Linked DNA regions of Rhinolophus ferrumequinum. The protein of the gene in region 3 interacts with the protein of the main gene of each other region in a biochemical or structural test. Links are inferred from orthologs where the notes say so. Each region holds a gene or a part of one and is shown on either strand. Other genes may lie near its edges.

What was found.
Region 1: the proteins of UBE2D2 (region 3) and TRIM63 form a complex in vitro, tested with the Homo sapiens proteins (2 studies listed by BioGRID). The link is inferred for Rhinolophus ferrumequinum from reciprocal best matches to the Homo sapiens genes UBE2D2 and TRIM63.
Region 2: the proteins of UBE2D2 (region 3) and RNF114 form a complex in vitro, tested with the Homo sapiens proteins (3 studies listed by BioGRID, with this or other methods). The link is inferred for Rhinolophus ferrumequinum from reciprocal best matches to the Homo sapiens genes UBE2D2 and RNF114.

What each region holds. Positions count from the first base shown.
Region 1 is NC_046292.1:17,859,513-17,863,259, reverse strand, and holds the start of TRIM63 (E3 ubiquitin-protein ligase TRIM63), read left to right. Parts: upstream 1-1,634; 5' UTR 1,635-1,776; coding exon 1,777-1,935; intron 1,936-2,838; coding exon 2,839-3,011; intron 3,012-3,747. UniProt on the Homo sapiens protein: E3 ubiquitin ligase. Mediates the ubiquitination and subsequent proteasomal degradation of CKM, GMEB1 and HIBADH.
Region 2 is NC_046306.1:9,562,346-9,566,092, forward strand, and holds the start of RNF114 (E3 ubiquitin-protein ligase RNF114), read right to left. Parts: upstream 2,333-3,747; 5' UTR 2,285-2,332; coding exon 2,145-2,284; intron 1-2,144. UniProt on the Homo sapiens protein: E3 ubiquitin-protein ligase that promotes the ubiquitination of various substrates. In turn, participates in the regulation of many biological processes including cell cycle, apoptosis, osteoclastogenesis as well as innate or adaptive immunity.
Region 3 is NC_046307.1:14,298,083-14,301,829, forward strand, and holds the start of UBE2D2 (ubiquitin-conjugating enzyme E2 D2), read left to right. Parts: upstream 1-1,188; 5' UTR 1,189-1,813; coding exon 1,814-1,837; intron 1,838-3,747.

The DNA.
Region 1 (3,747 bases), on a different chromosome or scaffold from region 3:
GCCATTTTAGCAAATTAATAGAACCCAAGGGGAGGGGGCTATGGGAACCTCCCATCAATATCCAGTCAGCCAGAAACACAGGTAAGAAGAGCCTGGGCTTTTGGCTGGTGTCTGAAGTGGAGGGCGGTCTTCTGGGACTGAGCCCTTTACCTGTGGAATCTGATGCTATCACCTGGGTAGATAGCATGAGAATTGAATGGAATTTTTGGACACCCTGCTGGTATCTGAGAATTGTTTGTTGGTATTGGGGGAATCCTCTGTCTCTCATATTGGAATTGGGTCTAAGGAACCCTTTTCAGGGATATGGTTCTTACGTTGTTGAGATGATGAAATGAAATGATGCATACAAAGTACTTAGCACAGTGTCTGGCACATAGTAAGTGCTCAGCGAACACTAACCATTAATATTTGGGGCAACCACCCTTTCCTTGAAATTCCCCAGCCCCGTGTGTTCTAGGCCCCCTTCTCTTTCTCTGACTGGTCCCCCTCTTCTTTTCCCTCTTATTGCCTCCCCCAAGGTTGGCTTCTTACCCTCACTACTCACTAGGTCTAGTCTCAGGGCTCTGACCATCAACTTCTTTCCACACTGAGGCCATCAAACCTGCTCTCCTGCCATCCCTCTTCCATGAAGTCCTGGACACTCCTATATGTTCCATACCCTCGTAGGTACATCCTGAGGCCTGATGTTACTGCTCCTACTCTCACCCCCCGCACCTTAGCCTGGTGGCCCTCTGTCCCTTTACATGAGATTCTACCTTAAAAGCAGTCATTGGAACTGCTGTAATGACTTCTACCTGTCAGCCCGGAAGATGTCCAGAGGGACATGGAGAAAAATTTAAATTGGTGCAGAGAGCAGAAGGGAGCATCTGATTAACTTCTAAGTGACTTGGTAGAACTTAGTTATTTCTGTCTGTCTTTCTCCCGAGGCTGTGAGCATCTCAGGGCAGAGAAAAGGATTACTCATCTATCTGTCACCTTGGTTCCCAATGTATAGTTAGTACTCAGAAAAATATCTCATGAATGAATAAGATTCCTGGCTTTGCCACTTACTTTTTTTGACTTTGACTAAGGTCCTTATTTGACCCCAATTCAAAATCTATAAAGTGAGGGGATTGGACTATGTTTTAAGGGAGCCCTTTCAGCATTACAGTGGCATTAATGGCCAAGGGATGGGGGTCAGTCTAGCCAGGGTGGGGATCTCAAAGTCTCCAGAAACATGCTGTGCTCAGGTCTGAGGCAGAGGGATGGGCTCAGAGAGAGGGGCTGCCCGGGATTCCAGAGCAGGGATGGACCTAGTGGTCACTGAGGGGGCACTGGCTATTAACCCCACAAATCCCAGTGGCCCATTCTCTGGGTCCCATCCCTAGCCTGGTGTGGGAGGAGACTGATTTCTGGAGGAAACTCTGGGTACCCAGTCCTCCCCCAAGTGTGCCCACGAACAGGCTGTTCTTGTTTACGACCCCCGTCCCAGGGGAACAGCGATTGCTCATACGTACATGTGATTTGAGAGGCCAGTCTTGCAGGCCTGGAGGAAACTCAAGCCCCGCCAGCCGCACTGGCACTGGAATGCTCAGCTGGTCCCCTCCTGGGGCTCATGTGACCAGGGTCCAGCTATAAATATCGGAGGGGCCTCAGACCAAGACAGAATTCAGGCGCCGACAGAAGAAGGCCAAGAGGCTCCAGGCAAGTGTTTTGTGACAAAGGCAAGACCGCAGGTCTACTCAGACAGAAGCAGGTAAAGGAGGCAGCCAGGTGGGCCCCACACCTCCTGACAGTATGGATTATAAATCAAGCCTGATCCAGGATGGGAACCCCCTGGAAAACCTGGAGAAGCAGTTAATCTGTCCCATCTGCCTGGAGATGTTTACCAAGCCGGTGGTCATCTTGCCGTGTCAGCATAACCTCTGCCGGAAGTGTGCCAGTGACATCTTCCAGGTCAGTTCTGGGCATGGCCTCGTCCTGGGGGCCCAGGTGGCTCCTCAGCTTTCCTGTGATGAAAGCTCATCTCTCTTAGCCCAGGATTCTTCTAAGCCAGGCCGGTTCTTTCCCCTGCAAAGTCAACCCCTGCAAAGGCCACTGGACAGGGCTGAGGGCGGCTGGGGAGGCAGCTCTGGCTGCCCTTCCTTTTCCATGACGCATATTTCCCCTCCCCACCCTGCCTGCAGCTCTGCCACCGGCCATCTCTGCCCTGAGCACCGCAGTTGACTCTTCAATCAGGAATCAAATGCCTCAAGTGATAAGTGAGGGAGGCAGGCAGAGAGGAGAGAGAAACCAGACCCCTGGGGCTGGAGCCAGCTCTCTGGTGGCAGGTGGCCCAGAGCTGCAGGAGGAGGGTGGCCGGGAGGCCCTGGGCAGTGGAGCATCTTCCCTTTCAGGCTTTTGCCTCTAATATAGGGGAGGAGGGGCTTCATCTCCCTAAGAAAGGACTGAGAGTGGATGTCCTGGCTGGAAGGCAGTACTCAAGATTCCCCAGGAGCACTTTACAAAGTGTTCTGTCACTATTTTATCTTTAAAGTAGCAGCCCTAGGAGCTGGCTCTAATTACAATGCCCATTTGATGAATAGGTAAACTGAGGTTTGGAAAGAAGGTTGCTTGCCCCGAGTTACTCGGAGAATAACTGTGACTCAAACCCAGGCCTGCTGACTCCCAAACCTGTTGATTGCTTCATTGCTTCTCAGGTGCTCCCTGTGTAAGCGATCTGCCTCTCCTCTCAGGATAGGGGCTCCAGGTCATGTGGTTTGAAAAAAATGGTTGGAATAAGCAGGGGGCAGGATAATCGGAGATTAGAAAGGGCTGAGGAGGGAGCCCAGGCCTCATCTCTGCCTTTGCCACCCACAGGCTGCAAATCCCTACTGGACCAACCGGGGTAGCTCGGTGTCCATGTCTGGAGGCCGTTTCCGCTGCCCCTCCTGCCGCCATGAGGTGATCATGGATCGTCATGGAGTGTACGGGCTGCAGAGGAATCTGCTGGTGGAGAACATAATTGACATCTACAAGCAGGAGTGCTCAAGGTCAGTTTCTCCGGCTGCTGCGAGCCCGTCCTTCCTCCCCAGCCATTCTGTGCCCAGCTTCCCAGGCTTCTTCCTCCTTCCTCTGTTTGGGATCCTGTCCCCTTAGTTGGACGAGTGACCCTAGCCAGTCTCCCTCTTTCTCAGGCAGGAACAGAGAGGCTCACTCTATCCCCCCACCCTGATTCTCCATGTGACTCAGTGAATGAGAAGGGGCCCAGGCTGCCCTCCTGAAAAATACTGAGATAGGAACCAGGGAACAAAGATGAGATATGAGAGGGAGAGAGAGACGCTGGGGCCAGCTAAGTGGCCCTGATAAACAGAGAACGCGCCGTGAGAACATAGCCAGTTTCTCTATCGTGAATCCACAGCTATGGTCCCATGTGCCAGGAGGCACAGTGCCAGGCACAGGGAACCTGCTGCTTCACAACAATGCTATGGATCAGGCATGACTTTCATCATCCCCATTTCACAGATGAGGAAGCTGAGACTCAGAGAGGTGAAGTCAATCACCCAAGTTTTCCCAGCTGGGAAGGGGAAGAGCTGGGAGTAGGCCCTGTTGATCGAGCTCCAGGTCTCCATGATTGTAGAGTAGCAGCTCCGTCTCAGGCAGTTTGTGAGTGGTAGAGCTTGTGTAGTGTTGGGCCTCCAATTGGAGAGAGACACAGCTACTAGGGAGATCTTTACAAATCAGGACATCCTGACAAGACTTCCAGGCTGCTGACCTCACAGATCTTAT
Region 2 (3,747 bases), on a different chromosome or scaffold from region 3:
CACGCTCTAACCTTTGTTACAGTGCTACGTAGAAAGTCCCTTCTCCTGCTGTATTACAGTACACAGAGAGTACACCAGACTGGAGGACATAGTCATTCAGGGCTTGAAAGAAAGTTTTATAAAAACCTAACATCCCACCCAGCCAGAGCTGCAGTGATGCTCAAATTTCCAAGCACGAAAGTTAGCAAAAACCAAGTAGGGGCAGCGAAAAGCAGGTGGCTGGAGCTAAGGGAGACTTGCGCTGCCCTCAGTGAGGTGCATCCATCTGTCTTCAATCAACACTGAACTGATAAACATGTGGAACTAGTATGATGAGTATAGAAAAGTTTGAATCCCAGTATTGACCCTTGACCTCTGATCCAGGGAAGGTTCACCTGGCTCAGGGAAACCTCAAATTTTGCTGCTGTTCAGCTGGTCAATTGTACTGGGTCAAGTCTCTTTATTCATCCATTACCACCTCCGTCAACACACACAGGTTTGATCCTTACAGTAACCTCCCGTTGCACAATGAATTTTCACAACAGTCTAAACATTTGTTGGTACTTACCGGGATGCCAAAAAAAATGTATACACATGACTTGTCTATCCTTGTTATCTGTATATATTGAGTATTACAATTTTAATACAGCTTTTTCCTTTCTTAAAATGTGTGTACATTTTTTTTGGCACCCTCTGTACTTATCATCAAGTCAATGCCTCGTGAATTGAGGGCAGCATGGCCTTCTTTCTTACTATGTCCCAAGCATCTGGCACAGAGTGAGTACACAAATATTTCAGTCTGTGGAATATAAGATTAGAAGATGGATGGTCACTGTGCAGGGCACTAGGGATACAGAGAGGGGCAAAGCAGACATGGTCACTGCCCTCGTGATCCATCAGTTTTGCTCTGTGCAAGAAACTGGAGGTGACTTCCATGAGGACGGTGATAAAGGAGGTAACAAATTGGGACTTGAGGTCTGAAAAGGATGTCGGGTAGCGGTGGGGGCGGTGCAGATGGGCACGAAGAGTTCCAGGCTAAGGGAACTGCAAACGAGAACAGCCAGGGAGAAAGAGCTTCATGTACTTGAAGAAGCAAAAGGCACTCAGTGTGGCCGGGGAGCCCTTGCCAGGTGCCAGCTGTTCTCTGGGCAGGCAAACAGATGCCTGCAGTCCATCTGGGAAGAGTCGGACACCCTGGTGAGCCTCAGAACTCTCACCTGCAATATGGCTGCCAACCCCAACCCTCTTCCCCCGCAGGATTGCTGTGGAAATAAGAATGCCTGGGAGGCCCCGCCGGTGCCTAGCGTGCCGACTGACCAGTAAAGGGGTCCTAAGCCCAATGCCAACGTGTTGCCCTCGACAAGCATTGAGGGAGGCCATGGAGGAAATGCCAACTCTCCGAGGCAAGAAGCGGATGGTCAAGTTTTCTACAGTTCTTTCAACGTAGGTGTGTTTTTGTGTCTGACGGAGCTCAAACGCCTCCAAGCACCTATCCCAGCCCGGGACCCACACTGACATTGACCCCCAACTCCTTTTGTCCTCACAATGTCTGTTAGTAATATGCGGGCCATGGAGGCGTGATTTCAAGTACCATGAAACAAGCTTCGTACCCACGGAAGGAGGAACGCTGGCAATCCCTGTCTGCCAACTCGCAGTCCCTGTCCCAGTTAAGGGCAGAGCGCTCCGATCTACGTCAAGACTTCCCTTTTGTTCGTTTAGTCTAGTTCAGCGTTTCTCCAACTTTCGTGCACGTTACAATTACTTGGCAGAGTTGGATACACGACTCCGTATGCATCGACTTTAGAGGAGGTGTACGCACTACTCAAGGGAAGTTGGGGCTCTCGAGGACAGCGGACTGTAGACCGTACCTAACCCCAAGCACGGTGCGACTCCACCATCGCTCGTGGGAAGGTGCTGACAGGCGGCCTGAACACAGCGGGCGCTCATCAGAAGGGCGGGATACTTGGGAGAGAGCAGGACGGGAGACAAGAGCGCCCTGCCAACTTTCACGAGCCTTCAGGAGACCGGGAGGGCCCCCTGGAGAAGCCCCGTTAGGCCGGTCCTCTAGCTCCCGCCCGAGACGCTCCCTGACGGGGCCTCGCCCCTCGGATCCCTTCCCCGTCCCAGTCAGGCGCCCCCCGACCAGGCCCCGGTTCGCCGCTTACACGTGTCCGCAGACCACCCGAACCGGCTTCTCGTACACCTCTAAACACACGGGACACGTATAACGGCCCAGTGGGTCCGCCTCAGCCGCGGGCCCTGCCAGCTGCGCACCACCCTCAGGGTCCTGCTGTTGCGCCGCCATCTTGCTGCCGCGGAGCGCCCCGCAACGGCGGCCGAGGAGGAGCCCGATGGGGCGGGGCCGAGGAGGCACGCTGGTGCACGCGAGGGGTGGGGCGCGGGGCGGAGAGAGGGCGGGGCTCCTGGGCAGCAAGGGCCGCTAAGAGCTCGGATTATGGAATGTACGCCTGGCTGGGGCGGGGCTAGTGGATGCGCCACGCCTTCTTGGCCCCTCTGACCGGAGGGAGGGGGGAAGAGGCGGACGGAAATCTGGAAAATGTGGAAACCAGATCCACAGACTGGTAGTATTGGAACGGGCTTTGTGCTTCAGCCTCTTTTCTAAATTTAAATTATTACTATTACTTAATATTACTTATGCACTATTACTTAATATTTCTCTTCAAACCGAGTTGCTTCCTTCAAACGTAAGCAAACAAATTTTAAAGGGAGATTTGATATCACTCCTGAGCCACAAATAGAAAATCAGTTTCACTTATTTCTATAAGGAAATTGTAAAAATACAATGGAAACAAAACAAAAATACAAATGGAAACAAAATATCATTCATTCATGCTGGATACTGCTGACGCTGAAAAGAGAAATTAGCCATTATTAGACAGGTGTTGAAGACAGGCTATCGCCACACTGAGACTTGCTAGCGAAAGCAGAAGTAATGGGAAGCCAGTCTCGCTCCGTGAGTCAACGTTAATATTGTGTTCACGTGTCTCCTGGCAATGCAATCCAGCTCCTGCTCTGTGTAAACAAGGAAGCTGGGGCTTAAGGAGATAGACTAAACCTCAATCTCACAAGAAAGGAGCAGGCCTAGACCCCATATGTTTTGAATCCTAACTTCCTCCACTTTCTACTGCACCCAGTTAGCTCTTGTATGCAGCCCATTTAACAAAAGATACATCTTTTTAGAAGGCAGGCTGTGCTAACAACCCTGCGTGGTTTGCTTAACCAGGAAAATTAACGATCAATGAAACCTCCACCTGAAAGGCCACAAAGGCTTCACAGTAAGGAGGCTACACGGGACAAATAAACCTCGTGTGTTAAACCAGGTTAATTGAATGCAAGTTTGTGCCTTCTTTGTCCTATTCCCAATCATCTGGATTGATTTTGCTTGACCTGGTGGCATCAGGAGGATTATTTTCAGCTAACCACGTGGGCATCTTTTCACCAAAAAATAATTTGGCAGGTAGGCAGCAGCCCACGAGGCCTCTGATTACTTACACTTTCCTGTTTCTTTTTCCTGTTCCTATGCCAGGAACCCATTCATCTGCTCTCTCTCCTCTCTCCCTTCCAGGGCAGACAGAGGGCAGAGGTAGCTGCCGGTATTTATAAGCCTTTGTGTTGACCCTGTAGCTGCTGCCAGACCCTGGGGAGGTGGGGGTGGGGATGTGGGTGAGGGGTGGTGGTGGGAAGAGAGCCTCAGACCTGGGCTTCAAATCCACCCAGGGCCTCCAGTTTGAGCTCTTGAAAGGAACG
Region 3 (3,747 bases):
TGCTTATCTGTATTTCTTGCGACTAATATACATTGCTTTTCTAATACAAAAAAGCTTTTGAAGAAAAAATTTTAAAAATGTGACCAATAGGCATTTTTGTCTCTCTCCTCACGCGTATTAAGAAGAAACAATTTGGGGCTGTGGAATATTCCTTTTCCCCTCTAACCTCAAACACACCCAACCTGGATGACTGGATACAGCTTTTCCCTCCTTTGATTCACTGAGTCTACAGTGGCCCTGCCCTATTGGCCTAACCTTCTCTACTTAGTAGGTGAGGCAATATAAGTATTGACAGGGCTCTCTACTGCATGACTTTTGGCAAGATCCTTCTCTTAGGGGCTCCAGTTTCTCCTGTCTAAATTCAGGAGTCAGAATCAATGATCTTAAAGGTCCCTTCTGGATAGAGGAAAGAACAGTTTTAGAATCAGAAAACCTCGGGGTGCACTTGAGAACGTGGACATCATCTCCCAAGGAAAATATTCCTTACTAATCTCCCCTGGAAGTGTCTTCAGCCAGATAACAAGCACCTCCCAGCCCAGGCCTGGCCTTATATCTCATTGATCCTGGTACAGAGTTCGACACAGAGTAGTAGTTGCTCAGTGAGTTAGCTTTTTGCCTCCACCCCCTAAAAAACAACTCCAGAATAGGTTTTCTAAACTTGTTCCTGATGGTTATCTGAACCACAAGGTTGGTTTTAACTACCGGAACACACAAACTGTACAAGTTTTTTTCTGAGGTAATTGGTACAGTGCGTGTTTGTAACAATTCACCAAAGAGCGTGAGGTCTGGGTACTTCTACGACTGTCATGCCAATGCTGAGACGTTGAAGTTGTCACCCAGCTGACGCCTCGATCGGAAAAGCTATCTCAGGGCTGCCCGGAACTACATTCCTTGCAGGGGTCCAGGCTGTTACACGCGGCTTGGGAAAGTTCTAGCTTTGCCACTGTGGAACTGTGTGACCTTGGACAAGTCCCTTCCTCCTTAAGAACACTGCAGTGGGACTAAGTGCCTCCTCCCGGGTTTGTCTATGCTATGGGGACAGTCGAGCGACCGGGAAAACATTCGCCTGTAAACGTTTATTGATCTCTGATGACACGCGCGTGTCAAAAGCAAGGGACTCAAGAGTCGCGGCGCGGGAGAATCCATGACCCGCGCCACGGCTCTCGCGAGATCTCCTCTCTGGGCTCCGCGGCGTCATCTTCTAGGGAGCCGTGGCGGCGACAGCGACGGCGACGGCGCGTAGATACTCACAGGGGCGGCCCGTATCCCTCCGCCGCAGACGCGACCCAGCCCTCCTCCCCCTGGCCCTCCAATCCCCGAGCCTTCCGACCTGCCCCTCGGCCTGGGCCCACCCCGCGCTCGGGCGGCCCCACCCCGGCGGCGCCGCCCGCCCGTCCGCCCGCGCGTCTCTCGGTCCACCTGCAGCAGGCAGTCCCTCCAGCTGTCCGACCCAGAGGCGCCGCCGAGCCTGAGGCCTGGGCTCTTGCTACCCGGCGGAGGGATCCGCGCCGGCCGAGGAGGCGGTGCTGAGCTAAGAAGGAAGAGGCAGCTACGGCGGCAGCGGCGGCGGCGGCGGCTCGGGCGGCAGCGCATAAAGGGGCCGCCGCCGGGTGATGCGGTGACCGCTGCAGCTGGCTCGGGAGCCGAGTGGGCCTCGGCCCTCAGTCGGTCCCTGCGGACCCGTGCTCCCGGACTCTCCATCTTCTCCGGTCGACCCGTGATCACCGAGGCGGCCTCGCGCCCCCTCGCCCCTTCCCCATCCCTCCCCTGTCCCCGTCCCCGCCCCGGGGGCTGCCGCCACCCGCCTCCCACGATGGCTCTGAAGAGAATCCACAAGGTAAGCGGCCGGAGGTCGGTTGTGGGTTCGGGCCGCCGGGCGGGCCAGCTGAGCAGGCCGAGGCCTGCACTTCCCGCCGTCGCCTCCACCGGGCTCGCATCTTCTTCGGACCCGGCTGCCCGCGAAGGCCCCGCCGGGCGGCCTTCACACCCCACTCCCAGTGATGGCGCCGGTGGAGGCCCGGGCGCGCAGCCCGCGCTTAGGCCGGAGGTGCTCTGGCCCGCTCAGAGTTCCTTCCCGGCCTCCTTTCTAGGCTCTGCGGTGGTATGGAGTCCCAGGGCCTCTCCCCGGCCGGGGACTGCTGCGCTAGAGGGCCATTGTCCCGGCATGCCGGGAGGGGGGGCTGGGGCGTTGGGCGGCCCCTTCGACCGAGGTCGAAAGGGCTCCTTGCCCCTCTCTGCCGGTTCTCCCCTCCCCCCCACCTGCCCTGGCTCTCCTCTGAACCGCCCGAGCTTGGGGCCCACATATCAGGCAGGCAGAAGAAGCCTTTTTGTCCGATCCACAAGTATTTCTTGAGTGCACTCACCTCTTGGCGGCCGCACACTTTGGTCCACTCTACTCGTCCAGAAACTGTTCAAGTAGGAAGTTCAGAAAGGAAAAAAACTTGATTCTTTGAGGGAGGAGGGCAGTAGAGGGAGAAGTGTTTTATTCCTGAGGTTGCCAAATGTAATCAGAAACTTCAGTTTTGCAGGAATGGATCTTACAGAAAAGCTGTTAAATTGGCAGGGGTAGTGGTAGAAACCTGAACATTGAAACCCACTGGAGAAGTTACACAAAGTTTCCCTTTACAGCTTAAATTAGGTGATACATTCAGGGAGACCCTTTTAGTTTCGAAGGGATTTTGTTAGATTTTTCCATTAGAAAGGACTTCTTTGCCCTTTAAGATGAAGGGTTATTCAGTTAGTTACCTATACGAATGTTTCCCTAATACTGCTTCTAGAATATAGACTTTGCTTAAAATTTAGGGTTCCCCCCTCTAATATTGTAATTTCCTAGTGCCTTTCACTATCATGTTTTTTTCATAGAAGTGGGGAAGCACCACTGGTGATTTTTGTTTGGTGTTTCAGTTGGCTGTATTAAACCTCTAGCTATTTAGGAGTAGATCCTGGGATTATCCATCCTGAAGGATGGGGTGGAGATGCAAGGGCAAGAGAACCAATTTTCACCTTGCCTTACACTTAGTGAAAGTGCTGATTGGTGGACAAGTTAAACTCCTCAGCTCAGCAGTTGGTCCTCATTTCATTCTTGATCCAAGACCTTTAATGTGAAATTAATCCCAATGGTTACTGTAAATTAGGTTAGATCCTTACCAACTTCTTTTGACTTCTTTGATTTCTAACAAATGAAAAAGGGCAATCTTTAGACAGAGTAAATCTTGTACTGAAATGAAGCAGGTTATTTGTTAAATGAAGCTTGAACTTTAAGCAAAGATCTCTTAACCGTTCAAGGGGCAGGAACACACTGAGGAATGGTCGTCCAAGTAAAACTATATATGCTTTTTTTTATATATATGCATTTTTAAGGGTTTTAGGAGTTACTAGGTTTTTATAAAGTCTCGGGGAAGTTACCAACTTGAGATTATTGCCTGTAGAAAATTGTGCTCTTATTTTAAAACCTAAAGAGGAGTGAGTATATGTGATAACTTACAGTCAAGAGATGTAGCCTTTCATTTCTACAGATTGATAACGTGTTACAGGGATCTTTTACAGAGTGGGGAAATAGCACTCAAAACATGCATTTTAATCTTCCAACGTGCTTGTTCTCAGTAATAATGTTTCTTTTGAGTTACTATAAATTCTCTAGATTTTCTCTAAAGTATCCCCTTATAAAAATTTGAATGAGGAAAATCAAGTTTAGACAATGATAATTTGAACTTTCAAAACTTAGTATGTTCCCCCAGTTTATTGCCT